3 linked regions of the Drosophila melanogaster genome follow. The protein of the gene in region 3 interacts with the protein of the main gene of each other region in a biochemical or structural test. Each region holds a gene or a part of one and is shown on either strand. Other genes may lie near its edges.

Evidence for each region.
Region 1: the proteins of fu (region 3) and cos form a complex in vitro, tested with the Drosophila melanogaster proteins (4 studies listed by BioGRID, with this or other methods).
Region 2: the proteins of fu (region 3) and ci form a complex in vitro, tested with the Drosophila melanogaster proteins (2 studies listed by BioGRID, with this or other methods).

What each region holds. Positions count from the first base shown.
Region 1 is NT_033778.4:7,378,918-7,391,111, forward strand, and holds cos (costa), read right to left. Parts: upstream 8,199-12,194; 5' UTR 8,063-8,198; coding exon 7,411-8,062; intron 7,353-7,410; coding exon 6,641-7,352; intron 6,585-6,640; coding exon 6,166-6,584; intron 6,103-6,165; coding exon 4,280-6,102; 3' UTR 3,259-4,279; downstream 1-3,258. Other genes in the region: Dhx15 (DEAH-box helicase 15), read left to right, coding at 8,611-8,663, 8,718-9,511, 9,791-10,264, 10,330-10,593, 11,161-11,283, 11,351-11,704, 11,763-11,890; Gr43a (gustatory receptor 43a), read right to left, coding at 12,105-12,167. UniProt on the Drosophila melanogaster protein: Regulates cubitus interruptus (ci) processing by recruiting multiple kinases to promote its efficient phosphorylation.
Region 2 is NC_004353.4:50,567-60,421, forward strand, and holds the start of ci (cubitus interruptus), read right to left. Parts: upstream 5,766-9,855; 5' UTR 5,303-5,765; coding exon 5,265-5,302; intron 1,819-5,264; coding exon 1,451-1,818; intron 1,389-1,450; coding exon 748-1,388; intron 692-747; coding exon 179-691; intron 115-178; coding exon 1-114. UniProt on the Drosophila melanogaster protein: Has a dual function as a transcriptional activator and a repressor of the hedgehog (Hh) pathway. The full-length ci form (ciFL), acts as an activator (ciA) while ciR, its C-terminally truncated form, acts as a repressor. Involved in segment polarity.
Region 3 is NC_004354.4:18,653,718-18,664,464, reverse strand, and holds fu (fused), read right to left. Parts: upstream 6,711-10,747; 5' UTR 6,626-6,710; coding exon 6,515-6,625; intron 6,443-6,514; coding exon 5,073-6,442; intron 5,014-5,072; coding exon 4,439-5,013; intron 4,371-4,438; coding exon 4,009-4,370; 3' UTR 3,977-4,008; coding exon of another isoform or gene 3,797-3,976; 3' UTR 3,261-3,796; downstream 1-3,260. Other genes in the region: CG6696 (uncharacterized protein), read left to right, coding at 2,317-2,500, 2,563-2,736, 2,790-3,226, 3,797-3,976; CG6659 (uncharacterized protein), read left to right, coding at 7,322-7,367, 7,490-7,751, 7,820-8,141, 8,195-9,658, 9,725-9,918, 10,044-10,169, 10,275-10,479. UniProt on the Drosophila melanogaster protein: Probable serine/threonine-protein kinase; maternally required for correct patterning in the posterior part of each embryonic metamere. May be involved in control of cell division during metamorphosis and ovarian development. May interact with costal-2.

The sequences.
Region 1 (12,194 bases), on a different chromosome or scaffold from region 3:
TGGGGTGGCCAAACTATTCCATCAGGGGTGTGGCATCAAACCCACGAGTTTATTAACCGAAAAATTCCCTTTTAAGCTGACTCTACTAAGTATTCCAGAAAAGTTTAGAATTAGAGAGAGGAATGCGGATGGTGGAAAATAGTTATGTATATTAATTATTTTTGAAATGTATTTGCTAATCAAAAACACACTTTGAAGACGAAGAAGTTTATCCACATATAGAAATGGTTGCAAATTTTAATTGAATCACGTTCCTTTAAGAATCATGTGCATTTTTCTAATCCATCAAGTATATCAATGAATTTAGATTTTTGTTTAAAAAATAAATAGATAAATCATAAATGGAAAAGTAATTTGCCCAAAATTGCCGAACAGCACGTAAATATTCGAGTAATGACTCATCAATACATCTCTCCTTGAGCTTTCAGCTTAGAAATTGTTCGCTTCCCATACCGACAACTGATGCTCGACTGAAGCAATTTGGAAAACATCTGGTAATCAGTCAACGGATCCAGGCATCCGTATAGGCAACATATGTGCGGATACATCTATACCATATACAATGTACCTACATAAAGAGATACAACCCTCGGTGAGCGGATCCGTTTGGTCAATCGCGTGGTAAAATCAACGAATCAAAAGCATTTTAATATTACTCATGCTCGCCTTTCGTATTCTTCTTGTTGCCCCGTCTGGCTGCATGTGTAACTTTAAATTGGGGTGACGAGCCAATAAATTTAGGAAGGGTGGTGCCGCAGGAATGGTCGGATGGGGCACAGTGGGCACTGAGGGCAGTGGCCCAGTGCAGGGTCGTCGGCGGAGGCAGAGGACACACATCCATTGTCCAGAAACGCTGCTGTGACCCATTCGCGCCCAGAGCTTCCGCACTGCGGCCCTAATTGAGATTCAAGTGCTCTCGGCGGCAGTAGAAACAAAAGGAAATATTTATTCGGTCCTTTGTTCACTTTAACCTTTTCCGCTGTGTCATGTTGCTGCCCAAGTGGAAATCAATATTTGCCTTCACAAGCGACCCGATGAGTGCATTCTCATCAAATCGATGAGAGCGGCCAAAGTAAATCTGTTTAACCACCAGCGTGCTGTGTATAAATTAGTTAGTGGGTGGAGTAACCATCACTAAAACAACTTAGAACTTATCTGAAATGTGTGTGAATAAAATGGCACACTATTGGATTTATTTATTGATTTTATTGGTTGCCAAAACTCATTGAGCACTTCGCTCAACGAGTGGAGCACTTTCAGAAAAGCTTATTAACGATTTCAAAAAATGTCCAGGATCTATTCAGTACATTTAAAGGGAGACACCAGTAATTCATGTGGGTAAATAAATAATTAGTTATTGTAAAATAAGTATAATAATTTACATTAAGCGGAGTATCAATGTAAACAGAAATTAAAAAAAATTAAATCAATAGTGCCTAAAATACTATTCAATAATATTACTGCAAGTTCATAGGTGTATAGGTAATTCACTGACTATTTTATTGCTCTGAAAACAGGGAGTCACATGGAAAATTGGCACTGGTCCAACTGGTGGGGAAAACCGCCTAGCAACAGGATGGCGAGCCGACGAAAAACCAGAAAAAGAAGCAGGAAAATAAAAAGTATATCGCCAGCAGACGCAGAAGGAAGCGGAGGAGGAGGGTAGTGCAACACTTGCAAAATCAAATAGTGGAAACTTCAGACACACCAGCAAGGAAAGGACGAAGGCAGCTGCACGGGATTTCAGTGATTTTACAAGCAGGGGATGAAACAACACTAACATCAGGACTCACACACACACACACATGTGCGCTGAAAGGATCGCGACGTATGTGTGCCACATGGAAACTGCGAAGAATTTTAAGAGGTTCTTGAGAATGAAGCGTTTTGAGTAGGGAAAGCTGAAAACTACCTGACGGCGACAAAGGACCAAGGACCTGGCGGCAGGAGGCACAGGTTGCACACACACACACACACACTGACTGACACACACGAATGGACGCACAAGCGAATACAACGGTAATCACAGAGTTGCTTTTCTGCGGTTCCAAGGGCGCATGCGCCGAAAAAAAATCGCTGAAAATTCAGGGACTGCAATTATTTCCTCTAAAACTCGATTTATAAATAAAAAGTAGCATGAAATATATAGAAACTCCCCTACGTACTAAACAAGACATTCGGAAATTTAGTATGAAACTTGTTTGGGAGTCGTAGAACATGCATATTTCCTCCCTCATGGCAGTACATTTTCACACCCTTTTGCAAGTGTGTGTGATGTGATACGGTGCATAAAGTAACCGTTTTTGCATTCCCAAATTGAAAAAACTTAACGTCTGGCGAAAAATCATAAGGAAGACCAAAGACTATTATCATCTAACCGATAAAATATCAACCTACAGCATCCTGCAGTTGATTTCGCAGACTAGCGCTACTCGGTGGGCGTGGGCAGGACTCACGCACACTTCTGCACCCAACCTATACATACACGACGGGCACAAAGAAGTTGCCAGACAACGGTGAAAATTTCCCAACGGTACCGCCGACTTTTCTTACCGTTATTGTTACTGCGGCTGGCCAAATTGTTTTTTAAATGCGATTAATTGTTAACACTCACACACACACACTTGTGAGAGTGGTGGGCTATTTGCAGCAGGGTGCCACTAATCCACGGGGGTGGCGACTCCGCACAAAAGCACGGCACACACAAACACAGATACTTTGCTCTGCTCTTGACTATCTTTCAGATACTTTGCATACTATTATTCACTTTTTTGTAGGGTGGTGCACTAGCACCGCTGCAACCGGTTGGCGGATTGCTAATCGCGTACCGCTGCCGTATATCCGTCTATCCGTACCCGTATCCGTATCGGTGTCCCAAAACAAACGCTCACACGCACACACAAATACTCGCACGCTCTCGCGATTCGCCGACTAGCGCTGAAATCCGGTTCTCGATCGCTCGACGGTCCAAACAAGACTGAATCGGATGCTCAGATACTCGCCATCGGATTTAGATACAACGCTTAAACCGGCGCTCTCTCTCTCTCCCTCTCATCCTCTCTCTTTGCGCTTTCTGTGTGTGTGTGTGTCCGAAGGGGCGATTGTTTGGGAAATTTCTGGGACATTTCTCACCTGTTGCCTTGTGGACTGTGTTTGCTTGGATTTCAGCTGCAAATGTAGAACTTAATTATCTTTATAAGACGATAACTATTTTATTTTGAATATAAAACACTGATTAAACACTGATTGATTAGTTTAGTTTGTATATATTTATTTGCTTAACCAACAATATCCACACAAAGCCATGCCGAGCGATTTGGCGGAATATGTATGCTTACAAATGTGTTTATAATTTTTCACACGCTGATATTGAGGGAACATACATACATTAATATCAATTTAAGTTACTCGGAGTACAGTGCAAACTGCATCTATATCAATGGACAATAAAAAATACGTTGTACACAACCAAACAGTATTGAATTTTAATTTTAAGTTAATGCAAAATGAGTATTGGATTAGCGCAAATACTGCGATTTGAAGCATTTATAAGTTGTACAGAGTAAATGCTTTTGATAGAATATTAAAGGTTAACACTTGGGTATGGAGTACGTATGTTGTAATTGGTATCGAAGGTCAATTAAAATTCGAGGGAAGACACAATAGTGTTTACAACTAAGCTAAAACTAACAAAATCAATTAAAATTAAGTGGTTACCTAATAATTATTGTTATGTACAAGTTAAACAATGCGGAGACTTAGGTCAACACTTTGAGCGAGTTTTGTGTACGGTTTGTCTTGCGAGTATCTTAAGTAGCAGGTCAAGTCTTTACGGTTGAATCTCATGAGGATAGTTACTTTCATATGCTAGGTGTATGTACGTGTGGGGGTTTCTAAAATAAATGCTCCCCAGCTAAAGAGCCGGAATGAGAACCATGTGTTGTAGTCTATTTGTGTCATGACTGTGGACGAAACTTGTTCAGTTCTTGTTACCAGGATCTGAGCTATTGCTTCACACTTAAAAAGATATCGAACTCCAGCCACTTTAATAAGTTAAACGACAAGCAGTAAACTAATAAATTCAAGCTGGTATATATGTCGGACTATTGATTAAAATGTATGCATGTATATGGGAGTAATCTGTTATACATTTTTAAGCATTTTTTTATATTATCGCCTTAATTATTAAAGTGGCTGGATTTCAGCTCATGGCTATTAATTGTATATGGCTATTTGGCTTAACCTTATAATATCGTCCTGGAAATGGTTAAATTCGTATTTAGTTTCGACGACTTGCGTCCTGGATAATTATCTTGTTCTTCTGACGCGTCACTTTCGTGGCCGTCGGAGCTGGCATCAGACGCTTCAGCTGCTCCGGCCTGAAGCTGACCAGGGCCTTGTCCTTCACTTTTCCTACGGCTCCAGTGGTGGTTGTCGACGTAGTGGTTGCCGTGGCCGTGGTGGTTGACTCAATCAGGGCCGTGGATTCCTCGGCCGTGGACCCTGAGGAACCGGCTGCGGCAGCTGACGCATATCTGGTGAGCACATGGAACTTGGCAAAGATGTTGCGTCCGCTGCGTTGCTCTTTGTCCTTGTATTTGTCTAGCGCCGAGCCGGTGGGCATCGGCTTTGGCGCTTTGATCAGTGCCTTGCTTGGATTGCCGCCACCTTTGTAGAAATGATCGTAGTCGAAATCACTACTGGCCTGCACCGGCGGGGCGACACAGGCAGGGGCCAAAGCTCGTTCTCCGTAGCTGGCCGAACTGGCCGACGTTTCCTCCGCCATGTGACGCAGCATCAAAGTGAGTTTCATTTCGTGCTGGCGCTGCAGCAGCACCGCATTCCGTTCGCCTTCCAGTCTAGCCTGGCGCACGGCATTGGACAGAACACGCTCCTTCCACTCCCAGGCATCCCGCTCACGCTCCAACTGCACCAGCTGCAGCTCCAGCTTTCGTGAAGAGTCGCGCAAATCGATAACCTTCGTGAAGTATTTGTACAGAAGTGTTCGCATCTCCTCCGTTGAGAGACGATTTAGGCGTGCCATCAGCATCTGTTCTCCCTTCTCCCGCTGAATTCGGTCGCTCGTGTCGATGGAGCGGTGGCCCGTGATCATCTCGTTCTTGAATTCTATGGCCGCATCTATGGCCTCGATGGCCTCATCGCACTCGAGCAGCTTGCGCTCCTCCTTTTGCGTCAGCACCTTGTCCCGCTTAAGTTTGCGGTCCAAATGACAGCGTTCTTCCAACAACAAGTCACGAGTTCCGCGCAAGTTGCGGATCTCATGACGCAAGGTCTCCTGCTGTTCTGGTCCCGGCTGCTCCTCCAGGTTATCCGACTTCTCGCGTAAAATGTGATTAAGGTGCGTAATCCTAGCCTGTACTGCCTTTAACTGGCGGCCTTGTTGCTCGGGAGAACCTTGCGCCTTCACTAGCTCTTTGCCAGTCTCCCTGGATTCTCGTAGTTTGGCCAGCTCCGCCTCCATCTGGCAGCGCAGCTTGCACTCCTTTCGAAGCTTTTTCTGTAAATCATCGGCCTGTTTTCGCGACTCGCCCACCGATTGCTGTAGCTTCTTCACCTTCTGTCCGCTCTCACCCGCAATATGCTTCATTGAGCTGAGGTCTTCTAGTCGACGCTCGAGATGTCCGATTATCGTGGTCCATCGCTCAATCTCCGACTGATCCCGGCCTTGAACTAGCGCCTTACCTAACTGCTTCTTGGCCTTGTCGCACTCGGCCTCAAGTTTGGCACGTTTCTTGTGAAATCTTTGCTTTGCATGGCTGCGTGTATCGCTGTTCTTGACCAATTCGGCGATTATATTTTGTTTTACCTGGATTGTCTCTTCGATTTCCCGTAACTGTCGTTGCTTGCCCTCGATCTCAGCGACCAGTTTGCGCAATTTTTTCTGCAGCTGTTCAATAGGAGCAGTGGCGGCGGCGGCAGCGAGAGCCGCCTGACGGATTCCTTCGCCCGAAGAACTTTCCAGAGGATCGACGACCGACTCAGGATCGATGGGCGGAGGCGGCTGCTGGGAAGCTACCCGATTAAGCATGGCAAGCTCAGCAGTACTTAAGCTAGCACCTGGCTGAACACTTCTCCTGCGACCTATTAAAGCAAGGAATCAACATGTTACTGTATAAAAAAATGTTATTCAAGGCAAAGACTTACTGCCAATGCTGACTTTTCGATCATCACCATTTTCTTCTGGCGGCTGTGCCTCAATCTCGCGGTCTTGGCTTTGCATAACCGCCTTCGGATGCTTGGATAGATATTCAGCGTGTTTTTCAAGTATAAGAGCGTCTGTTTTGTCGCGAAACTCTTCCATTAGACTTTCTATCTTGTCGTCCAGATCGGGCCGATGCGACTCATTGTCTGTGTCGTTTTCGTTGTCGGAGTTTGGCGACTCCGAATTGGCTGCTTCAGAATTCACGTCCTCGGGCTCCTCGGCCTCCAGAATGGGAACCAACTGTTTTTGCTGACGCATAGCCTCTGTTGAGCTGAGACACTCCTCGCACTCCTGCTTGAGGAAGAGCCACTCCTCGATCTGCTCCTTCTCCACTTCAGTAATTAGCTTGGAGTCTATCAGCCTATAAATTTCTTTTGTCGTCAAAAGGCCCACATCGGAAATAATGTGTACACTTACTTGGAAAATAGCCCCTCGGCGTTGGTAACTAGTTTGGACCATTGGCTTGCTGCGAATTGTAGGCCAAAGTTGTCCCCTGGTCCCGCCTGCGACAAGGGTCCAGCAGAGGAATTGGATTCGGGAACAGGCTCAGCCGGCTGAACGATCATCGTGTTGTCGTCGGAGTAGGTGTTCATAATTACAAAATTACGTACGCACTGCACCTTAAAGGCGAACTGCAGGTTGCCAAGAGTTTCGGGCAAGTGCTCTTCCAGCGGTGACACGCACAGGATCACGAGCGTCTGAGCCCGTCCGCCGAACGAGTCCTTCAGGAGAGTGGTGAGCGTGGTCTGACCGTACGGAATGTTGCCATTAACCCCGTACATGAGGCCTGGATCTGTGAGAGTACTGATCACCTGCTCCAGCATACACAGGCCAGCATCGAGAGGACGTCCCGGTGGCTGGTCTCCACATCTCTCTGTGCCGCAGAGATCCGAGAAACTGGCCGTGGACAAGCGGTGCTGCAACAGCCCCTCCTTGGACACCCACTGCTGCTCCAGGGTAAGCGTGAACAGGGTGTGCGCCGGCAACGATTGGCGGGCCGACAGACCCACCTGCAACCAGTGGAAGACGGCATCTACGTTGGTGCAGTGTATGTTTCCCATGCCCAACAAGTCGCAGACATCACCTCCGCAAATTTCCACGAATCCCACGTTGATGGCATAGGTGCGTTCTTAAAGTGAAAATGGAAATGGATAACTATGCTTATAAGATCCTTTTAGTAAACTCACCTGGGTGCAACGATATGTGTGAGAAAATGTCACGGACACAAAGTTGGACGACTCCTTCGGTGGAATCCGTCAGAGTAGGGTCCTGGACGTTTCCGTAGAGTGTGTAGCTTTTGCCCTGGCCCCTCTGGCCATAGGTGACTACAGATGCGTCGAAACCTTCCAGGAACAGGGTGATGAGCGGAAAGACCGTCTGGTGGTACACTTGCTCCTGGGAGCTGCTGCTGGGCAGGGCGTGGGTGACCGGAACCGTGTGGGGACCGACTTGTATCAGTCCAGCTGCAATGCTGTCCATGGGATCTCCGCCTGGCAGGGCACTGGGCAATCCCAGGGCCGAAGCGCTGATGGGAATAGCCTGAACGCAATATGCGGAGTCTGGGTAATCCTTCTGACCACTGTCGTTGCCATTGGCATCTGGAATTGTCTTCGAATCGGCCGCACTGTCCTGCTCAGCATTCCCGTTTGGGTCCGTCTCTGAAATTGACGGATTGTCCTTCTCAGCCGCCGGAACTTGAGCCTCGGAGTCCTTGGAGTCCGCCCCCTCATCCACCGCCTGCGCATCCTTTTTGGGCTCTGTGGGGCCGAAGCTCCTCAACAAGTCCTTGAGCTCTCTATGCGGGAAGATGCGCACCGCTACCTGAATGGGTATTTCCATGGTGGTTAGGCAACTAGTCCTGGTCTCGCAGGAGCTCTTTCATTCGATATCCTGCTCTTTGTTTCGCATCTTTGCGCTTTCAAATACGTGCAAAAATTCAACTCCCTCCGAATCGATACAATGTGATAGTGTGGCCGACGCTAAAGCGCCAACCCAAGCCGAAAATACCGAATCCATGTAACAGTTTGTTACTGTAAAAATCAAAATCAGTTTCCAATCAAATTGCTGTCAAATGTCAATTTTAAGACTGTGAGCTCACAACTATTCTTCAAACTGGTGAGTAAAACCGAATTCTATAGATAGATTCTCGTCAAAAGACTTAAGCTTGAACTGCTGTTTTTTTTTAAATGCCAAATTGCTGCCGTGCTGTTGGTTGTGATCTTCGCTAACCATGGGCTTATATAGTATACACAGACAGTAAACTTTGGTATTTTAAAAGTTGCGATCAGCATGGTCGGTATATGCTAAAGGTCTCACTGAGCGCGTGTTTTTTTTTGTGCTAAACGCTTCGTTTTGAGAATTAAGTGCAGTAATCACCATAAATTAGCATGTCCAAGCGTCGAATCGAAGTGGGGGAGACCTACGGCAGCAAGGCGAAGAAGTAAGTGACCCGAGGCCAACATACGGCAGTAATGTAACGCTCCTTTCTCACCAGGGACCCGGAGGCGTCCTCCTCGTCGGCGGCAGCCGCTGCCGGCACAGTGGCTCAAATCCTGGGCGGATTCGTGCCCAACAAGCAACCGCCCACGATGAACCCGCTGACCAACACGCCGTACTCACAACGGTACCAGAATCTCTACAAGAAGCGCATTGCGCTGCCCGTGTTCGAGTACCAGGCGGACTTTATGCGGCTGCTCAGCCTGCACCAGTGTATTGTGCTGGTGGGCGAGACTGGCTCCGGCAAGACGACCCAGATCCCGCAGTGGTGCGTGGACTTCGCAGTATCCAAGGGGCGCAAGGGAGTCTCCTGCACACAGCCACGTCGAGTTGCCGCCATGTCCGTGGCCCAGCGCGTTTCGGAGGAGATGGACGTAAAACTGGGCGAAGAGGTCGGCTACTCCATCCGTTTCGAGGACTGCTCCACGGCCAAGACGCTGCTCAAGTACATGACCGATGGTATGTTGTTGCGCGAGGCCATGTCTGATCCCATGCTGGACCAGTACCAGGTCATTCTGCTTGACGAGGCTCACGAGCGGACCTTGGCCACTGACATTCTAATGGGCGTGCTCAAGGAGGTCATTCGTCAGCGCAGCGACCTTAAGCTGGTGGTCATGTCCGCCACACTGGACGCCGGCAAGTTCCAGCAGTATTTCGACAACGCACCGCTCATGAAAGTGCCCGGTCGCACACATCCCGTGGAGATCTTCTACACGCCCGAACCAGAAAGAGATTACCTAGAGGCTGCTATTCGCACGGTAATCCAGATACACATGTGCGAGGAAATTGAGGGTAAGTTGGTAAATGAGTTTAGCTTGGAGTTCATTTAATAGCTTGCTAGTTCATTGTTCTAAGAAGCATTTATCGATCATATGTTTACAATGTAAAAGTGCCAGGCAAAATATAAACTTTCCGAGTGCCGAAGGGCGGCAAATGCTTCGTATTTGCTTTAATGGTATTGTAATCATTCAAGTGTTTACGACTTTTGAATATGATCCTATTCAATGCCGGAAAAGACGCATTCGCTTTTTCCATTGTAAACTAAACCCCAACTTGATTTTGCTACTCTAGGTGATATCCTAATGTTCCTCACGGGCCAGGAGGAGATTGAGGAGGCTTGCAAGCGCATCAAGCGCGAGATCGACAATTTGGGCTCAGAAATTGGAGAGCTGAAATGCATTCCCCTGTACTCGACGCTGCCGCCCAATTTGCAGCAGCGCATCTTCGAACCGGCCCCGCCGCCAAATGCTAATGGCGCAATTGGACGCAAGGTCGTGGTGTCCACCAACATTGCCGAAACCTCGCTGACCATTGACGGAGTGGTGTTCGTGATTGATCCAGGCTTCGCCAAGCAAAAGGTGTACAATCCTCGCATTCGAGTGGAGAGTCTGCTCGTCTCACCCATTTCAAAAGCGTCTGCGCAGCAGAGATCCGGTCGTGCTGGACGTACGCGTCCTGGCAAGTGTTTCCGTCTGTACACGGAAAAGGCGTTTAAAAACGAGATGCAGGACAACACCTACCCCGAAATTCTGCGCTCCAATTTGGGTAATGCCTAGATCCCCTGGAAGTATTACTCGATTTCTAATATCTTGTTTCTTATTTTTGAGCAGGCACTGTGGTTCTGCAGCTCAAGAAGTTGGGCATCGATGATCTGGTGCATTTCGATTTTATGGACCCCCCTGCTCCAGAGACCTTGATGCGTGCCCTGGAGTTGCTCAACTATCTGGCCGCCCTGGATGATGACGGAAATCTTACAGACCTGGGTGCCGTTATGTCCGAGTTTCCATTGGATCCGCAGCTGGCCAAAATGCTGATTGCCAGCTGCCAACATAACTGCTCTAATGAAATACTTTCCATAACGGCCATGTTGTCGGGTGAGATAAAACACAAATCTAAGAAACTGTCTTCGATAAGTTGGGGGTCGCACTTATACTTTCATGGCTGTCACTTTTCGTTTTTCAAATACGTAAATACGACTTGTACCTAATTTCGATTTGTGCCGATGCATACTTTCATTTATTTCCGTTAAAGTGGCTGCCGTGAATACTTTCTACGTTATAAATTGAAAGTCTGAGGTTTCGGGGAAGTATATTCTATATTCTTGAAGGGATTTATGTAATTTCTTAAGCAACAATGCAAAGGAAAAAGTTTTTCAATTTATTTGTTCTTTGCATTCAACTCGAAAAGAAAAGTTGCACATGCGTTTAAAAGTCCAAGCCCATTATTTGAATGGATTGATGTGCAAAATATGCCCGAATAAATAGTGTTTTTATCTTTTAATGTTCCGCGAACGCACTTGCAACTCACAAATGCAATCAATCTTTGAATCAAGCCTCTAGATTGCCTAGCTGACAAAATGAAAGCACAATCTATTTGTTTATGTTAAAAATTGTTTTGAACTTGCGCTTAATCGAAACTAAACCAATTCAAACGTGCCAAAGTTCCACAATGCTTCGTTCGCCCCAACGAGGCGAAGAAAGCTGCCGATGAGGCCAAGATGCGATTCGCCCACATTGACGGAGACCACCTGACGTTGCTTAATGTCTATCACGCCTTTAAGCAGAGTAAGTAAACTAAACCAACCTATACTCGAAATGGAAACATAAAGACATATTTCTTTATTTCTTTCAGGCAGTGAGGATCCAAACTGGTGCTACGAGAACTTCATAAACTTCCGCTCGCTAAAGAGTGCGGATAACGTGCGCCAGCAGCTGGCTAGAATCATGGACCGCTTCAACTTGCGGCGCACGAGCACTGAATTCACCTCGAAGGACTACTATGTAAACATCCGAAAGGCCCTCGTGCAGGGCTTCTTCATGCAGGTGGCCCACCTGGAGCGCACTGGCTACTATCTGACCATCAAGGACAACCAGAACGTGCAGCTGCATCCGTCGACTTGTCTCGACCACAAGCCCGATTGGGTCATCTACAATGAGTTCGTGCTGACTACAAAGAACTACATTCGCACGGTGACAGATGTCAAACGTGAGTAGCAACTTCCGCATTTCAGGGTCATTTTTGTAAGCATTTCTTACATTTATAGCTGAATGGTTGTGCTGCCTGGCGCCCCAATATTATGACTTGAACAACTTCCCCCAGTGCGAGGCGAAACGACAGCTGGAGTTGTTGCAACAGCGGTTGGAGACCAAGCAGTACCAGAAGGGTTTCTAAGTCCCCCCAGAGTATGGCTAGTTGTAATATGATGGAGAATGGATCATGGATAAGAGTGTGTGAATTTTAGCAAGTTCTAAGAAAAATAACCCGTTTGCTTTTTATTGTTTGCTAACTTGATTCAAGCACATAGACACTTTAACAGATCAATAATATCCAAGAACTCCGTTTAGTTAATAGTGTTAATAAAAAACAAGCCACTTTTTGTATAACTTTAGCCATTGGTCCGTTGAAACTGAATGAGAATCACGAGATAGGTGGCTATGGCGGATGCAAACTGCAACCAGATAGCATTAGAATAATA
Region 2 (9,855 bases), on a different chromosome or scaffold from region 3:
AAAGGCTTTGCTACATCCCGGATACTCGCAAGTGTATGGTTTTTCTCCTGTGTGTGACCGTAAATGAGTTTTCAGGTTTTCCAAACGTGAATATGCCTTAAAGCAGCCTTCAAACTAATTTACACATGATTTAAAATGGAATTCATATAAATTGTTTTATATAATTTATTAATCTTACCGTGCATTTGTGTGGCTTTTCACCGGTATGACGCCGCATATGCACAACAAGCATATACTGCGCTTTAAATGGTTTTTCACCGCGTGTACAATCTTCCCATCGACAGACAAAAGCTTTCTTGTTTGTTTGAATATGATCATTATTTATATGTTTAACAAGTTCATCTTGCGTAATGAACTCAATGCGACAGCTACGCCAATGACAATTTGTTTCAATGAAATCTCCGGGTTCATCCTTGATATCCGTAGTATCAGCATTAGCACAATCATATTCATTTGACGGAATCGAAATTGATCCGCAATTAATATACTCATCCAAGCGGCTGTTTACTTTAACGTCACCAGGAATGCCTGTAATATTGTTTACCACGTTGTTGTAACAACGGTCAGACAACTGTGAAGACGCACTGTCGGCTTCTACTTGTGCTACGCCGCCAGATGTCGATGAAGGCTGCTCGGGGACAACATCTTTAAAGGGTCCCTTTTTCTCTCTTGCATCATCTAAGTTCTTCAACTAGATAAACGATATAATATAATCATTTTTAATATTTTAAATTAATTAACAATTACCGAGAATGCTGCCGCTGGGACCTGGCTTACATCCTTTGTAACAGTTGGGGATGTTGTTATCTGGATATGTGAATCGCTTAGATTAGGATGTACGTCATTCACTCTCAAAGAAGCAGAGGTTGGCATATGCCCTATAGAAAATCCAGATGCAGCAACTTGTTGTGGTGTCATCGGATTTAACAGACCTGCACTTGCACGCAATAAATGAGCTTGTATCTGTTGCAGACGGGTTGAATGAACATGAGACATGGGATTAAGGGCGGTAGCAGAAATATGACCGTAAGAACCACTAGCCGCGCTGCTTCCTCGAGAACCGTTCATAATTGTGGCTAAAGAGTTTGGCGAAAATCGAATCATTGAATTAATATCAAATGAATCGGAATAAGGCGATGACGAAAGTGCTCGTTTGCGGCTTATGCTGGCACGTATACTTCCTCCTGGTGGTCGAGGGCTACCCAACCGCCTGTTTCCATCAACACTGAAGTGAAAATCAGTACTTGCGAGAGATCCGGCTGCTGCTGCTGCCACAGCAGCATTATGCAGTTCACCCAAAGAGCTCAAACCTCGGCTGCCCAAAAAATCAGCTGATCCCAAACCAAGTCCGGCAAGATGGAATGCTGATGCACAATTGACATAGGGATCTAACAAACAAAAATCCATACTTTTTAAGGTTACTTTTTTACAAATACAAGAAGTTAAATACCGTGAAAAGATGAAGCTGAATTAGTTCGTTGAAGAGAATACAACTGTTCCATGTATCCGGGAATTCTATAGGCCGGGTGAAAGTCATGTGGCTGTCCAGTAACATTTATATTGTGAACATGTTGAGGCTGATGATTGTGCTGGTGGCCAGCATTTCCAAGAAGGGTGTTTTCATTGCATATTTGTGGTTGTATTGAAGTTTTAATTGAATCTGATGTTCCACCCGTTGGAATAATTGATGGCACTGTTACCGAGCTTGAAACGTCAGTTGGGTGATGTTGGTTTATGCATGGTGATCCTGGTAAAACAGTAGCCGCTGCAGCGACGGCAGCTGCTCTCCTGGACGCTAAAAACTGCAATTCAGAATACCTATAGGAAATAAAATAAATTTTTTGTTAAATTTTGTTTATCATCTATAAGTGCGTAAGTACTATAAATCGTCTATCATCACCCAAAAATCTCGTATTTGGGTTTACATTTTTGTAATCATCATTTTTACTTAGGGAGAAAGAAACGTTTGACTTTTTAGAGTATATATTCTTGAACAGTCGATCTAGCCATGATCGTAAGTCCGTCCAAGAGCCAAGGAACTCTTGTATATATATATATATGCCAGAAGTTCAGATGAATCATGATTCATGATTCTAGTGACGCCTACACTGCTAAGTTTGTTTCCGGACGCTCCTACACCCAAAGCCCAAAAACAGCACAAAACAAGAGAGAATGATGTAGATGAGCTCCCCGACTATCAGATACCCGTTGTTAATACCAGTGTGAATGTGAATTTAATCATTTTTCTGAGATATCGATAGATATTAAGGAATATAATGACAAAAAATTTAAAAATTGTTTAAAAGTGTAGGCGTGACGGGTTTGGCGGCTTTAGGGCGTTGCACTGGTCATGTAAAAAATTTGTTTGGCAATCGACAGAAATTCTACGACCAAAATTGCTCTCTTTCCGCTCGCTCACGCTGAGAGCGTAAGAAATCTAAAAATAGAATTTGCTTGCTTGTGTGAGTAAAAACAAGAGACGAGAACGCGTATATGTGTGCGTGTTGTGCTAGAAGACTATTTTCGGGCCGAAATCAATTCTGATCGAAAAAACGAATTTACATTGTACATATTAGGGTAGTTTTTGCCAATTTCCTAGAAATATGATGAAATTAAATAATTTTTTTAAAATTCGCGCTTAATTAAAGCTTTTAAAATTTGTTTGTTAAAATCGCCGATCGAATTAGCTACCGTTTACACATATATATTTATGTTTAATTCTAATTTGTCTCTCATCTGACAATTTTTTAAAAGCGAAATATTTTTTTTTGAAACACTTTTAATGTTAAATGACTTAATAAATATAGTAAATAATTAAAGGAAGTACAATAGAAATTATTATAACTACTGGAATTTCATAAATTCCATAAGAATATGATAACTGTTTATTGCAAAAGTCTAGAATTATTCTAGTGTCTTTGCTTTGGTCATATCTTGAGGCACGAAGTGCGGACACAAGCACTCAACAATCATTGCCTAATTAATTTTTACACGCCGCAAGACGAATACTCTAATGACAAATATTCTAAATATATAAAGTCATTTTTAAATTTATTTTTGTGATAATATGTACATAGATTTGGCTCTTTCTAATCTATTTTCATATAATAATAACGTTAAGGCAATGCAAAACAAGAATTTTTCACATGGTGCCAATTGATCAAAAATAATATAGATTTAAAGTCAAAGAACTTCTAAGGTGAAGGGCATATTTTGTCAAATTTACAATGCATGAGCATACGTGTGCACACATACAGTTGTCTGCTATCACTTTATGCGATGAAAAGAGCTGTTCGCTGTAGCACTCTCTGCTCTCTCGCTCTCTAACAAAAATTCGAGAGAGCCTGGAGCCACCTCTAGAGCCACGGCGAAAAAATCGTGTGCCAAAAAATTGTATGGCGTTACGCATCTTGTTATTCTAGTGTCTTTGGTAGAAGGTTCAGATTAAGCATACCCATCCATACAAACCGATGTTTCCACGCCTACTTTAACGAACACAAACCGACCAAACTGCCAAGCCCACACTTTTGCAAAATGTTTTGATTTTATTTAATTTGATGTCAATGTTTATGGTAAGCCAAAAACACTTCGGCCCCTCCTAACAATTACAAAACACCCAAAATGCTAACGCCCATACTTCAGTAATTTTTTTTATTTTTCTCATTTTTTTCCCCAATATCTATCGATATGCCAGAAAAATTATGAAATTTTGGACTCTCCATTTCACTAGCTGAGTAACGGGTTTGTGATATTCGGGAAAATTGACTATAACAGTCTCTCTTGTTTTTCATGAAGTCTTGCAAATTTCTATCGATTCGCTAAAAAGTTTTTGTATCGCTCTAACGCCCTCAAACCGGCAAGCATAAGCAAAGACATTAGATACATGATTATAAGAAACCCCGCTATTATAATCCGATTCATTTGATATATAAAAAAATTCTTGATTATTAATCTCAGACATACAGATTCAAGTAACTTCTCGATCAACCAACAATAAAGTTAGAGTCTAATTTTTTTAAGTATTTTAATGTATTTACTATTTATTATTATATAATTTTTATGTAAACGCCAACATAATTTTCTTTTGGCTAGCTTCGATGTTAACATAGCAATATCTTTGAATGCAGCGTTTTAAATTCAAAATTAGATTACGACTTCTATCGATATTTAAAAATTATTTTTTCCACGCTCGCTCTTAACCGCAGAAACGGGCACGTCCGCAATTTCAAAAAGAGAGAATGCTATAGTCGAGTTTCCCGACTATCAGATACCCGTTACTCAGCTAGTGTGAATGCGAAATTGCACAATTTTTCTGGGATATCGATAGATAAAAGATAAAATGAGAAAAAAAATTAAAATATGTTGTCGGCAAATCGATATAAACTTAAATTTATAATAAATAATAAACTAATAAATTTATGAAAAAAATTCCCAACAATTTTTTACAAATGTGGGTGTCGGAGTTTTGGGCGGTTTTAGGGCGTTGGCAAAAAGTTTTTTTTTAGAAATCGATAGAAATGTAAAAGACTAATCAGAATGTGAAAAGAACAACACATTTTTCAAAAGTGTGGGCGTGATAGTTTTGCGCTGTTTGTGGACGTTAGAGTGGGCATGGCTACTTGCGTCTTTGTCTCTGTATGCTGAATCTAAACCTTCTAGCTTTTATAGTTCCTGAGATCTCGACGTTCATACGGACAGACGGATATGGCAAGATCGACTCGGCTATTGATCCTGATCAAGAATATACATGTATGTATATACTATATATGGTCTAAGACGCTTCCTTCTGCCTGTTACATTCATTTCAACGAATCTAGTAACGGGTATAAAAATGTTTATTATTTATTGATTAATCATAAAAATTATAATAATAGTAATTATAATAATAATAAACATTTTTATACCCGTTAATCGTTATTATTATTATTCTTTTTTATTGTTACCATAGTTATTATAATTATTAAAATTATTATTATTATTTTTATTATTATTATTATTGTTATTATAATAATAATAACAATAATTATATAATATATATATAATTATATGTAATTATATATAATTATTATAATAATAATAACAATAATTATTGTTATTTTTTATTTTTTTAATTATTTAATTATTATTATTTAATTGTTATTATTTAACTTACACATTTCTAAACATTTCATGGACTGTAATCTTAAAATTCCTCGTTTTAAACAAAAATGTAGATATTTTTCTATTGTAAGGCTTACTTCTCGAATATGCAAATAAAAACTTACGCAAGAGGAAAATATGTAGGTAACGCGTAGGCGTCCATTTCATTAAAGTTAGTCCACAACAAGAATGACGTCGTTTTATAAATTCAATTATCCTTTTAAATAATATTAACCGTCGGCGTAAACATTTTCAAAAGATTGGTATTTCAAATAACGGCACGCATAAATTTCCACTTTTGATCGGCAACTTAAACAATTTTAAGGAAACTCTTTGATTAAAAAGTTGGTTTTAAATTTTAATATTTAATATTCATATCACTTAAATATTATAATGGTGTGAGCTTATGCGCTCGGCTTCCTAAGTAATGAAGGGTATCGCCAAATCTCACACGTATATTCATAAGATTATCAGTCCCGAAGTAATATATTTATCACTAAATATTAAGTAGCGAACAATGAAAATCAGTTTTGTAAGACAAGTCAATATTTTTTGAATGCTGCGTCTTATTCCTATGTTTCTTACGAGTGGACTGAGCGACATTAACACTAGCTGTTGCAATGCTTCGTTAGTTTAGATGGAGCAGTTCGGATCTCCTCTCACACATGCCATTGTCCAAACACAGATACTTGTACAGATTCTACATAGATACGTGTAGGTTCACAAACATAAATACAATACAGTAACAAGTGCATTGGTGATTTAAATGTCTGTGTGTACCTACGGATCACGAACAGTCGGCGAAGGCGGGCAGATCGAAGATGGCCACACAATACATATACTCGTACGTGAGTTAAGATACTTTTCGATGCCAGTGCTGTTAATATAGATATTTTTACGCTAGTAGTTTGTGTCTCTCAGTGGGTAATTTTTGTCCTCGGCGATACAATATTATTTTTAAGCAAAAAACGCAAAAGTTATTGGCAACGCCTATCTCTATATACATATACACACATACATATATATATATATATAGATTAATCTTACAGTAGCTTGTACACCCGATTCAATCTTGATTTTGGCTATCTCGTTGATATTTGTACCCATTATACCCAGTATATCCAGTATATTAAAATACAAACATGTATTTGTAGTCGTATTTATCTATTATAGCCTTGCCCTTGCGAATAGCATTCTTGATGAAAACATACATAACTGTTTTCTATCCTATCAAGACTGGTTTGGTGTAATATTTGCGACACAGTATTTTTGCACTCAGTGTACTTAATGCATCGAATTTTTACCCCTATCTTATGGGTATATTGGGTATACTAGTTTCATTAAATAGTATATGATGTTAATAAGGTAGTAGACTCGGTAATCTAACAATCCAACAATTAAAATGTTTCCAACCCCTTGGGTATGTGGTTATAGCAATGTTGATGCTTAAATAAATGTTACTTCTGGCAGCGCTTAAATACTTGTTTATAAATTTTGAAAATTAATATTTCGATTGCAACACTTCGCCCCTTAGTTCTGTATTGGTCAATTCAACAACACTGTCTTGAACCAAATTGGATTTATAATTTCCGACACGATATTACGTACGGGCATAACTAGATTGATTCGGCTAGGGTCAATCAATTTCTTTTATCTGATATACGGCTTTAACCTAGACGACATTTTGCGGTCTAAAGACGATCTAGGTGAGTATAACGACAATGTTTTAAACAAAGCAATATAACAAAGTTTATAAATTCATGTCAATCAATGTTCTACTTTAATGATGGAAACGCGTCTATTTCCGAACTGCATTAGTAATTTTGGCTGTGTTTATTGAAAAAGGTATTTAATAGTAAAGACACACTACTTAAAGAAAAATACAATTTCGGAGACTTGTTTGTTCATAACGCGTGTAATTAAAAAAAAAAGCGACTTGAACTATTAAATATAATTGTGCCTAGTACAAGATAGCTTTGGCAAGCCACAGTTTTGATAAAGCTACATAATTAGTCGTCAAATTTAGTAAAATTTATCGAATAAAGTGGAGAGCATAATTATTTTCATTATGCCATTAATATTCAGTGAATATGGCTGTCCAAGAATATTCATATGTACTTTTTGGTGGCATCTGTCTTTTAACCCCGTCTTTAAAGGTGATTTTAACTAGTTAAGTTTTATATTAATGGGTAGGTGATGAAGTTATACTGATAATTTTTGGTGTTTTTGAAGAAATAAACTGATAATATATTTAATCTCAAAAAGAGGTATTTTGCAAACCTCCAAGGGTTTTGTAATTTGTGATCGTTCGAAGTGGGTATGACTTTTTTTTGGTACATCACTTTTAAAAGTCACTTTTAAAAGGGTGTGACAGTCTTCGGCAGTTTGTGGCCGTTATATACTTTGCATCGTATGTATATATGTACATATATTTTATACCGAACAAATATTTGTTATGACAAAATTTTTTGTATAAATACCATAGTATATTTTATATTATGTTACTATACTTTAATGCCTTCTCGCCCGTGTACTCGTAGTGGTTATAATATAAAATAAAAGATTCAAAAAGTTTGTATACCCAGTTTATTTCAATAATAATAAGGAACATTAAGAAAGCCACATCCTTTCTTTAAAAAAAAATTCTGTTTTTAATTTAAGTATGTAAAAAAAATGTTATTTAGAACATTATTACAATATAGGTATGTACATATGCTCTTCGAATGCCTTTGAACGGTTTTATATACATATGTATATTTACATATGTAAATAAAAATAAAAATCTTTCGAAACGTTTTAAGCAAAGAACTATAAAGCTATGTACATATGTAAGAGATTAGAAAAGAAATTGCAGCTCACATTATATTATGCAGCTCAATTAATATTAACTCATGCTACGATTTACAGGGCTTATATTTACATACATAAATACTTTTTGATACGTCCATTGACGAACACGTACATATACATTTATTTGTATTATTTGTATTATATGTATTTATTTGTATTTATATGTTCATATTCATATATATGTTCATTCATTCATATATTTATGTCTATACGAAGAAATTTATTTATTAAAGTTATGCTTAACGCCGTTGTACCTGTATCTGCAAAAATTTATATTTTACAACCACCGTTGACTAGTCTTGGCAATGAATTTCCTAACTATAAAACAACTCTGTACATACATACATATGTAGATGTGTATGGTGTATCCTTGTCCGGCATTAAAACAAGAAAAATAACATTTTTCCTGCAAGTGCACAGCAGGATTGAATCTGGTATCGTCAGATTCTTTTGATACCCATGCGTTTGTATGTATATTGTATGCATCTATATACATACATACTTGTGTGTGTATGTGCCAGGCCTTTTGTAATTTAACGTCTTACTCAAAACTCTATGAAGAAGCGGACACATGCTGTGCTTCTACAGCTTACACATACAAACAAATCTGTATGTTTGCTTAACGTACATTTGTGTGATTTTCCAGACCCTTTATGAATGTATGTATATGTGTGTATAAATATCCGCACAAGATAATCGTATTTGCAGGTACGTCTGTACGCTTCTTTAAGCGTGTATATGCACCCATACATAAATATACATAGATATATAGGTATGTATGTATGTTTGGTGGTCCCATTCCTTTTTATAAAAAACGTTTTGTCGATTCTTGGAAACTACAAAACCAGAAATTTTGTTATACATATGAACATAAATACATACATATCTCTAAGTATTATCATAAAAATAAATACATACACATATGCTCAATTACATACATATGTACGTACATTTTCGCATCCAAACTTATATATATAAATGTATATATGTAAATTGTAAATAATTTCAAACAACTTTGCACATCTTCATAATTTGCAAAAAATAACGGATTGTGCGTAGGTCCGTAATGAAACATATGTATTCATATCTATTTAGTATTATTAGTATTATTTAGTGTATTGAAGCATGTACATATGTTTTCCACAATTAAATAAGTATTATAAGACATGTACATACATATGTGGTTTTAAAAAATTCTTTGAGTTGTCTTCATAAATATACATATGTAGATATATGTATATATTTATCTATATAATTTATAACAATTTATATAATTTTTAAATGTATATATATAATTTATTAACAAATCAATAATCACATCGTCTAAATAATAAATTCAGTGTTAAAGCAGTAATATAAAAATGGTTCAAAATAATTTTTAATATTTAATATTTTTTCTACTTTTTGCTTGCCATTACAGCACTTTAGTTATGCGGTGTACCCAATGACTTTATTATCCTCTCTTCTTTGGTTCAGTACAAATTTTAAAGGCTTAATTAGTCACCGGTTCGAAGCCGAAAAGGGTGGAGAACGTTCGGCTTAAGCGATATGCTCGCACACTTGTGTATACGTATATGTATACACACATTTATATCATATATCTACGTATACTGTATATACATTCAAGCCGTTAACGTATAATGTCTTCTTGAATCCAGTTTCTTTTTCGATTAAGACGGAGCAAGCTGCAGATTGAAGCATCATCATTAGCAAGAAACTGAGCTGAGAAGACCTTTGAAATAATGTTGTCAGACGAAGACAAAAATACATACAAATATGTATGTATGTATACATAGGAAGGAAGCAGACAAAAAAAGAGGCAATAACAAAACAAAGGGAATGCTTTTTGGACCTTTATAAGTACGA
Region 3 (10,747 bases):
ATTTGTTTTGGCAAGCTGTTGCCGCCGCCGCTGCGGTTTTCAATCGATTTTTCTCTCGTTTTTTCTTGCATTTCGGTGCCGTAACAGGGGAAGCTGTGGAAAGCCAATCCGCTTAGCCGACAGGTGAAATCCAAGCGTTGCAGCTCTCGCGCATTTCTGGTCTATTAAGCAGTCCGCCGACGAAGATGAGCACCCTTTTCTTTGCCACTTGGAACTCCCCTTTGGGGCTGGGCATAGAATTGGATTCGGATTCGCACTGGCCGAATGCCTCGAGATGACAAGATGACAGTTCTGTGTCAGCAGCGGCCAAAAGGAAGTGGAGAAATCTGATCTCTGGAGACGAACCGACTCCAACTTCAACTCCGTCTCCTAGCACTTGATGACTCCGCAAACAAGGCTCGTTTCTGGGCCAGTGGCGCAGAAAGTGACTGCCGCTGGCCAAAAGTGAAAAACAACAAAGGCCAAGAACCCACCCAACAGTCCGACGAAGCAACTAACCCACTATCCAACGATCCAACGATCTAACCAGCCAACCATCCAACCATCTAACACCCACCGAAAGCCAGCGTTCTCAGCGCCATGCAGGAAGTCAATTACCGCCTGGAGCCAGAGACTCAGCCACTCGGTCTCTACATCCATGTATCTTTGCATCTGCATCTGCATCTATGGCCCCGCTTGTCTTGTCGCAAATTCACAATCTCTGTCCGCTAAACTTTCTCAATTTAAAATTGCATTTGAAACGATGCTGATGACGCGACTCTTAGCATGCTATTTTGCTAAATGCACTCGAAAAAAAACTAGATTGCTTAGTCTATGTTTAATACATATAGTTATTAGTGGTAGATTTTAATGAGAGTTTTGTTGTTACATATATTGACTATATTTTATTCTTTATAATTTTCAAATTAAGAGAATCGTAAAACTTAAACAGATACACTCAGAATGCAAGCTGCTAGTTATTGCCAGTTTATCTATACATGTTAAAGTTTTCCCCTGTGTAACTAGCGATTTCCCTCGAATTTTCCGCAGTCGAGCTGGAAGTCGTTGCCATTTGCCGCCGCCAGCCGTTGACCGAAAAAAGTGTGTCAAGTTTTCGACAAAGATCAAGTACATCGCAGATAGTACGTCAAATGTGTTTTGCTGTCGTTGCCCCTGATGCTGCAGTCGTAGTGGTAGTCGGATTCGGATTCGGAGATGTAGTTGAATGAAGCTGGGAGTCTTGTGCCCGGAGTTTCTGCATCCGCTAAACATGCTGCTGGCCAGGCGCATTTCCAGTTGCCATGACCAAAATGTTCTCAAAATCCATTGCGATGTGGCTTAGATTTTGGTGCAATTTCGTAGTGAAAGTGCAGCCGCAGCAGCATTAGCAACAGCGAGTAGTAAGTGGCTGTTCCGCAACAAGTTAGAAAGAAATGTATGGCACTCCATCGCCATCCGCTGGTAATTGCTGGCGCTGCACAAGAAAGCCGCTTTGGATCTAGATTGTGGCTCACAGATTGGCCAAAATGGCTGGATGGATGGTGGGCTGCCTGGCTGCCTGGCAGCCTGGTCCCACATCTGAACTTGACGAAATCGTGTTCTGGTGATCTTGTGGGTGCCCACTCGGCGACCCACTTGGAGCCACGGCCAGCGCCACTGCCACTGCCACTGCAGTGACCCACTCAACTGACGGATAAGCCAAGCCATCCGGGTCTGGGTCAGAGAAAGGGAGAAGATGACCAGATACCTGACAGCGTTCACTTTTGCCACCGACAGATGCCAACTGTCATTGGCCATCAACATCATCAATCGATGGGGGTCAAAGAACTCCTCCCGGCTTTCCATGGTGTCTCTGCCGCTTTTTCTCTCTTTCTGTGCGGACGTGAGATCGAGATTGAAATGAAGATCGATTCGAGATAGGAAGACAGGAAGGCACCGCCACTGGGTAATGGTACTGGCACTGGCACTGGCACTGGAACTGGCACTGTCACTGGCGCTGGTACTGGGAAAGAGAGTGTGCTATTTTCATATGCGCACGCCGTTGCCACTGATAACCCAATATCCCAGTTAAATTTGGAACCAAAAGCCGTAAAAGTCGAGGCGGGGGAATTTGAATGCGCGCCGAAAGAGAGAGCCAATAAGTCAGTTAAGTTATGCATAAATCCGAAATCCAGCGGCGTGGGCGTCCGCCATTCAGTCGCCCAGTCAGTCAGTCACTCAATACTCACTCGTACTTTCAATTGGAACTGCCATTGCCGTTGTCATTGCCCCGCCCCTTTACGCAGTGCCATATAAAAGCGTCGACGCAACATGGCCGGCGTTTCTTTTACCCCAACAATGCCGAGAAGTGCGCTCATCGTTCCCGGTCTGATTTGTTTTTGGTCTGCCCTGGCCTTGGCCCTGTCCGCCACCTTGGAGGCGAGTACCCCGGCCACGCGAAAGGCGCTTCTTCGCGCACGACCCGCGGTGCCGCCCGCTGCCAGGTGGGGCGCCAATATGCAGATGCTGCGCCGGCACAACAGTAGGTACCCAACATCATATCAGACGCTAGTAGTCGATGCACTCAACCATTGGCACTTGCAGGTCCTGCCTTCAACTTCTGGACGGAGGACAGCGATACGAACATATGGGAGCATTGCGGCCTCTTCGAGGGCGACATCATGCTGCACCGCGAGCTGCTGAGGAACGGGCTGCTGAACGAGCGGCTCACCTGGCCAGAGGCCGCCGTGCCCTTCTACATAGACCCGCAAGACTTCAGTGAGTTAAGGCCTGCAAGCAGTCCAAAGTAGTAAAACACCCTTTCCAAACAGACGCCAACCAGACCATGGTCATACTGAAGGCCTTCAAGGAGTACCACGACCGCACCTGCATACGTTTCCGGCCGTACGAACAGGGCGACAAGCACTGGCTGCTCATCAAGGGCAACTACTCCGGCTGCTGGTCGAGCGTCGGCCGGCGTTCGGGTGGCCAGGTGCTCAACCTGAACACACCCAAGTGCGTCACACACGGCGTGGTGGTGCACGAGCTGCTGCACGCGCTCGGCTTCTACCACCAGCAGAGCGCCACGGAGCGGGATGAGTACGTCAAGATCAACTGGGAGAACATCCTCGACGGGCACGCGCACAACTTCAACAAGTACGCCCGCACCCACATCACCAACTTCGGGGTGGAGTACGACTACCAGAGCGTCATGCACTACAGCTCGCGGGCCTTCAGCAAGAACGGGAAAGCCACCATAGAGCCATTGGTGAGTAGGCCAACCCAAATGGTTACCAGTTATTCATGTAATTGAGTATTATTTTAAATCGCTTACACTGTAAAGGAGTTCAGTTTAACATTCAATAGTAATACTGCGAATTAATGGACTATTGTATGGACATACAGTAAATTCGCTTATCTTAACAATTACTACACCTAAATGTTATATTTCGATATACAAACTATAATGCTATCAATCTATTTTGCACAAACCACACTTGAATATGTGCATTCAAAAACACCTATCAATTAACTTAGATTCCATTAGGAATGCCAAAAACCGTGGCTCATAAAATATTTAAATTCGATAGTGATAGTGATTTGATCATATTCAGATTAGGAATTCCTATATTAACACATGGTCCAATGACGTGCAACTATGCTAGGAATAGACGAAGCATTTTGCTTCCTTGTCCAGTTGGAACTATATCAAATGAGAATTCTTTAGCTGAATGGTTGACTACACCTTAGCAGTTTTAGTTGAAGCGATGAGATGTTTGTAATGACTTGGGGGAGCTTGCATCGTCTACACTCTCTGACTCCTGTCCTTTGCTTCCAGGATCCGTACGCCTCGCTGGGCCAGAGACGCGGCCTCTCCGACAAGGATGTGTCCAAGCTAAACGAGATGTACGAACAGGACTGCAGCGAGGACTACCTGCTCAACTTCGACCGCTTCGGGAACTACATCGACGAACTGCTCGACTACTTCCAGGGCAACATTCAGGATCTGCTCGGATAAAAACGCCTGAGGCCAATAAAAGAAAGTGCCGGCTAGGTGACGAAAAAAGTGAAGTGACTGATCTCGTCGAGGGTCTGGGCGGCCTCCCCACGGAGTGCCGGGTACGAGTGGTGCTCAGAGAGTTGTTGCAGCGCAAATCGCAGCTCTCCATTCCATATGCGCTGCACGCCGCGCAGGCTGAAGCGGGCCAGCAGGCGCAGCAGCTGACAGGAACGTTGCCGCAACAGGTGGTGTCGGCTCTGCAGGAGCGAGACGAAGTTTAGCCGCGGATTAAAGACAATCCGTTCTACAAGCTCCGCGTTTTCGGGCAGCTCGCGCAGCACACAGCCCATCAGGGCCAACATGCACCCAGCCAGGCGAACAGAGGCGGCGTCTGAATCCGATTGCCTGAAGTCTACGGGAGAACGGGAACGGGCTAACAGTTTACAGGAGTCAGCTCATACCATCTAAGGGTAATCTTACCGTGCGTGAGGAAGTTGAGGAACAGATCGCTTGCTGCCAGAATGGCAACCGCATCGCAGAACTGCGTTAGGAACTGCTGCTGCAGGTGTACCAAGTGGCAGACCAGTTCGTACAGACTGCAAGCCGTCTCCAGCTCCTCGACAGTTAGCTCCGGAATGCTACGCAACGTTCGACTGAGCGAACCCGTGGTGAGTGGGGCGGAGGCAGCCGAGTCCGAGAGTTGTTTGTGCGACAGGAGCAGCTTGCAGGCGTACATGAGATTGGGCACCAGTTTTACGTCCACGTACACGTTGCGGATGAGCTCGAGGTCAACAATCAAAACAGGATCCACCAGCACAAAGGGCAACGACAGCAACTGGGCCACACTCTTGAGTACCCGTGGAATGGCCTTGGAGTTGCGCAGCGGTGCCACAATAATGCTCACCAGGTTGTGCTGTTTCAATGAGTCCAGTTCGCCGTCAAGCAGCTCCTGCACCGATCTGTTCAAGAAGGCTAGCCACTCATCGTTCTCGATGGGCGGACTTTGGGATTCATCGCAGCTATCCCACCCCGGGAGCAGGCACGGCGGAGTGTTGCTGTTATTGAAAGGGGAAAGTTAGTAAAAGAAATTCTATGAGGCGCAGTGGCCACTTACTCGCTGCTCAGCTTTTCCTCATTGGTGGAATGCATTGAGTGTTTAAGTTGTTGTGGCTGTTGCTGCGGGGGCTGAGAATTTGCGTAGGAAATTGCTTCAGCGGGAGGCTTGTTTTCCTGGTTATGCTTTTCCTGTGTAGCAATCTCCGTGGCCTTGCGTTGCGCCTCATGGTCGACGCTGTGACCCAAGCGAACAGAGAAGTTATCCAGATTCTGACTAAGCTTACGCTTCTCTAGATCCTTGCTGCGCGACTGGCGTACGGTTGGAGCGACTATTGGCTTAGCGGCCACGCCTCCGCCCCGCAAGGAAGCCTGAAAGTCGAAGTTGTCGTTCATATGATTGAGGATCATATTGGAGTTGCCACTGACGAAGCAAGTGTGCGAGTTGATCACCGGCTGGTGTACCATCGGCATTGCCCGAACACCAGACAGATCCCTGTAGGACAAGTCCGCGAAGGGAACGACCACACGTTGCATATTGTCCTCCACATCGGTCTCAAGATGCTCAACATCGCTGGGAGCAATGGCGTTTATGCTGTCGCGGGAGGTGGTCAAGTTTTCCTGTCGCGACTCGCCAAAGTCCAAAGCGGCCAGGGCCTCGTCCAGATCGCCTACCTCCGGATCGGACTGTTTTGACGACTTAACCTTGGCTTCGGGATTTGTGAAAGGCGATTCCTTGGCCGCCTCCGCCTGCGTTTCTGCGATAAAGATGCGTCCCTCAACGAAGGGGTGACACAACAGCTGCGTCCAGGATATGCGCAGACCGGGGTCCTTCTCAAGCAGGCCCTGTAGGAAGGAGCGGCACTCGCTAGTCAGCGTGCTCGGCCACTTGACGTCCTCGTGCTTGATCATCTTCACCAGATGCAGGATGGAGCTGGCACAGAAGGGCGGCTGACCGGCCATGCTTTCGTAGGCTATGCAGCCCAGTGACCACATGTCCGCATGATGGTCGTACGGCTGCTCCGCCAGCAGCTCCGGGGCCATGTAGAGGGGCGTTCCCTTGATCGAGGTGAGCACGTGGGTACCCAGGGTCATGTTGCGGGCCAGTCCAAAGTCGCAGAGTTTCGCGTGCATGTTCTTGTCGAGCAGCACGTTTTGCGGTTTGAGATCCCGGTGGAGGATGCGGTTTGAATGCAGGTAGTACAGAGCGGACACCAGATGCCCGGTCACCCGACGTGCCGGCTCCTCGCCCATGGCTCCATTGTAGGACAGGTAGCGGTGCAGGTCCATCAGCGCGAACTCAGTGACCACGAAAAGGTCCGTCTTCGACTCGAAGGACTCGATCATCTCGATGACGTGCGGATGCTTCAGCCGGGCCTGAATGTCGCACTCCCTGCGCAAATTCTTCAGCTCTTTCGTGGCTCTTCCGCGCTGCAGAACATGAATATGGTGTGAACTAGTTGTATGGACTTGTTGCTTTATCACCTGGCCCGCCCCACTCACCTTGGAGATCACTTTGATGGCCACCACCTTGCTGTCGTCCTTGCGTGTCGCCTTGTATACGCACCCGAAGGATCCTTGCCCCACCATCGAGCTTACCGCGTAGCGGTTCATGGTTATTCTTTGTTTTGCTGCGGATTGGGATGTGATTACCACTGAAGTGCGTGCGGTATGACCGTAGCAGGTTGACTCCGAGGTGGGAACTCGGCTTCGGTACGTAGGTATATGAAAATACTAGATTGCTCATACAGGGTTCCTTTTCTGATAAATGACGCTTTTGCTGGACAGCAATTGTACCTAAAAATCTATATAGACCAGATCATGATACAATCCAAGACAAATACAAGACTAGTTTGCGCTTTTATCTGTGGCAGTAGGTATTAGTATTATCTGCGAATAAACATTTATTAAGTGATAAAAGTTGGAACGAACTTTAACTTATATATTATTATATATTATAAATATTTATATGTATATATTTCTTAATGTACAAATTTTTACTTAATAAGTGCAATAAATGATATGCAATATAAATAATTAAAAATTCCAAAAGTGCAGTAGATAATATAACTAATTATAGGTATGTACCTATATATCGTAATGTACCTAAAATTCAGTGTGACCAAACCAACACAAATGACCCTTTTGACAGCAACTCGGTACGGTCACCCTAGACAAGCACGGCCGAAGAACAGCTGATTGCTGGCTGGTTTTTATTGTGCGGAGCCAGGAATAATCGTTGTGAAATAAATAATGATTGCCAATTTGAACACAGCCACCCAGTGAGACGACACCCACAATCGCAGCACGATGCGCGAGCCCAACCTGTACGTGATCCTGTCGCACGCGCTGATCGGTGAGTTTCCGCCAACCGGCAGACACTTCTGCCACGCCTCTTCCGCTTCCAGGCGGCAGTCTAATTGAGTTGGGGATTCCCACTGCCATTGACCACACTCCCAATTCCAATCCGCATCCCAGGCTGCGGCTTCTTCTTCCTATACGTGCAGCATGTGCGCGTGATCTTCGAGACGCGCACCAACATCCAGCAGCTCAATCAGCTGGAGCGGGAGGCGCTTCTGCGGCGCGAGGATGCCCTGTACTATGCCTTCTACAAGCAGCTGGCCGAAGGGCCGGACTTTTGGCACGGCTACGAGCAGCTGAAGAACGTCACGGACATCGAGTATCCGCACAGTGTCAATGTGCTGCAGCGATTCTACGTGCTGCCGGAGCTGGTCACGGCGTAAGTGACTGCCAGAGGAGTGATGCCCAAAAAGTCCACTAATGCAGATGCACTTTCGCTCCCCAAAGGTACTTCTTTCACGTAGTGCGCTCCGGCTTCAATCCAATGGTGCAACCGATGCAGTTCTATCTGGAGTTCGTGTGGCTGATGGGCGGGGTAACCCTGCTGGTACTCTACCTGTACGGAACGCTGCTCAGCGAGAACATTTTCGGTGGCATATACGGCGTAATCTCGTACCTGATGTTCCACAGCTTCGTGGCCAAGATCTATGAGCGGCCGCTGGCGCGGGAGAACTTCGCCTTTCCGTTCATTTTCCTGCAGATGTTTTATCTGTGTATCTGCATCGGAAGGATCATACACCGACAGCGGCACACATCTCGCATGTTCATGGTAATAGGTGTGCTTTATTGCATTAAGCTCAGTAACATCTTTGCCCTTCGAAGATCTTCGCCATGTCGCTTTTCACCGCCTGCGCCCTACTCTCCTGGCAGTTCTCCACCTTCATCTTCACCACCCAGATCCTGATCATGATGACGTCCTGGAACGCGAGCGCGCTGCCCACGGCTCTGGTCAACGCCTTCGTGCTGGACTACTCGCTGTCGCACCTGCTGGGCCACGCTCTCGCCTTTGTAATGTCGCACGGCAACAGCCAGCTGCTTCTCACCTGGCAGCTGAGCATCTCGCTGTTCCTATTTTTGATTACAATGGTGCGACAGTTGCGTCACGTGCGCAGCCGGCGACTGGGACACGCGCAGGATCTGCTGAACGGCGACTTATTCTCGTTGAAGTTCCTCATGCTCACACTGCTGCTCGCCAGCAGCGTGCAGACCACGCTGATAGAGCTCTTCAATCGGGCTGGCGTGGTCAGTGTGACGGAAGGCGACCAGCAGCACTTCTTCGACATATGTGCCCACTGGGCTCTGCAGGTCAATGTCGGCTTTGTCGCCCACCTTTCCGCCTGCAATCCGCAGTACGCGCGCGTCGCCTGGTCAGAATTGTGGCAGCTGGTCAAGACGATGATTGTTAAGCCGTACTGCATGTACGGCGTGGTCATGCTGGCCATGTTCTTCCGGCGCTGGCGCAAGAGCGGCGCCCCAGTAAGTGCCCTCACCGAAGAGCAGCGCGAGAGAGCGCGCAAATACGTGCTGGAAGACTTCATAGAGGAGCACTTCGTTTCCATGAGCGACATGTCTAGCAAGGAGACGGAGAAACAGCTGTATAAGTGCTTCCGCCTGCTCAAAAGCTGCGACTACGACTACGAGCGCTACAAGCGCGCACAGGCCAGCCTGCGTAAGGAGCAGCCGCCCGCCCGCGACGACTTTATGCAGGATATCAAGCGGCTGCGAGCGCAAATTAACCGCAACAGCGTCAAGCAGCGCAAGGAGCGGGCGCAGGAAACCAAAGAAGCGGCCACCGACGGGGCCAGCACGCCGACTGAGGAGGAGGATAAGGATCCGGAAGCAGAATCGGAATCGAAGAAGAAGAATCAGGAGCCAGGTAGTGGCGAAACGGAGACCGAGTCTGCAGCAGATCCCACTGAAACGCCGCCGTCCAGGTCCGCGGACAATGAAGAGGAGGAGGAGGAACACTCTGCCACCGCCGCCGGCTGCGGCTCAAACTCGAGTGGCCATCGACAGAGGAAGCGCAGCTCCTCCAGACGCAGCTCCGTGGTGCCCACGGCCAACGCACAGATCCTCAACATGCACTACGTGTACAGCTTCCTGCAGATGCTAGTCTTCACCCTTATCGGACTCGCCGTGCGCAAGCTCTTCTTCCTCAGCTTCACGCAGGGCTGCGTCATCGCACCCACCGTCTGCTCCAAACTGTGGTACCATCGCCAGCGCAACATCTTCTGGTCGGTCTCGCTGGCCGTCTTCCTGCTCAGCATGTTCGATCCGGGCATGGTGGTAAGTTGGATACCGCCTCTATTGCTCACGGGAATTGTTGTGATTTCGTCGCCCTCTCAAAAATAGAACATTCGCGAAGAGTACTTCCCCACGCGCTACTCCAAGAGCGGTGACGACCTGGACAGCATGCTCGAGTGGATCAAGCTGAACACAGAGCGAGATGCGGTCTTTGCCGGCCCCGTGGACATCATCGGCACCGTGCACTTGACCACCAAACGGCCCATAGTCAACCATGCGCACCTGGAGATGCGTCAGATAGCGTAAGTTCTCCCAATCTGAGCGAGATAGCCTATCGACTATGCCCCTGCTCTGTCCCGCTCTCATTGGCATCCATATCCTGGCCATGCACGTACTGAAACTTCCGCCTTTGTTTATCTTTTTTAAGGGAGCGCACGGAGCACGTGTACTCGGTGTACAGTCGTCAGCAGTCGTCGGATATCTACAACCAGTGCGCCCAGCTGAAGATCCAGTACTTGATCATATCGCTGGACGAGTGCACCAACGAAGTGCGGTGAGTAGACGCAGACAAAATCCTCGAGACGGGCACTTGAACGCTTAATTGAGATATTGTATTCTTATCGCATTAATATGTACTTTTGCCTGCTTTCTACAACAGCGACGATTGCGATCTGCTGGCCATTTGGGATGACAAGCAGCCGGCCTACCAAAAATACCCACAGTTCTGCCACGAGCTGCTCCACAAGAACGTGCCCAGCTTCCTGAAAGTGTTCGCCAACGACCACTACGGCATTATCAAGATGTTCTCGCAGAGCGTCCAGATCAACCTCAAGCACAACAAGATGCCCGAGATGTCCATATAGGGCTGGCCGTCCACGGAGGCGGCGCGATGATGGAATGCTGGAATCGTGTTGTGTTGTACGTAGCTGTGTGAGCTGTGTGACTAGGATTTAGCATTTTACGATGTGTGTGTATTATGATTACGTTTAGTATTGCCCCAACCTCGGATGCCCGAACACATCTCGCACCCAATCCCAAATCCCGATCCCGCGTAGTAGCTGATTTGATATGGCAGATTGGCGATTAGAAGGAGGCCCCTTCCGCTAGATAGTAAACTGGATGCATTTAGCA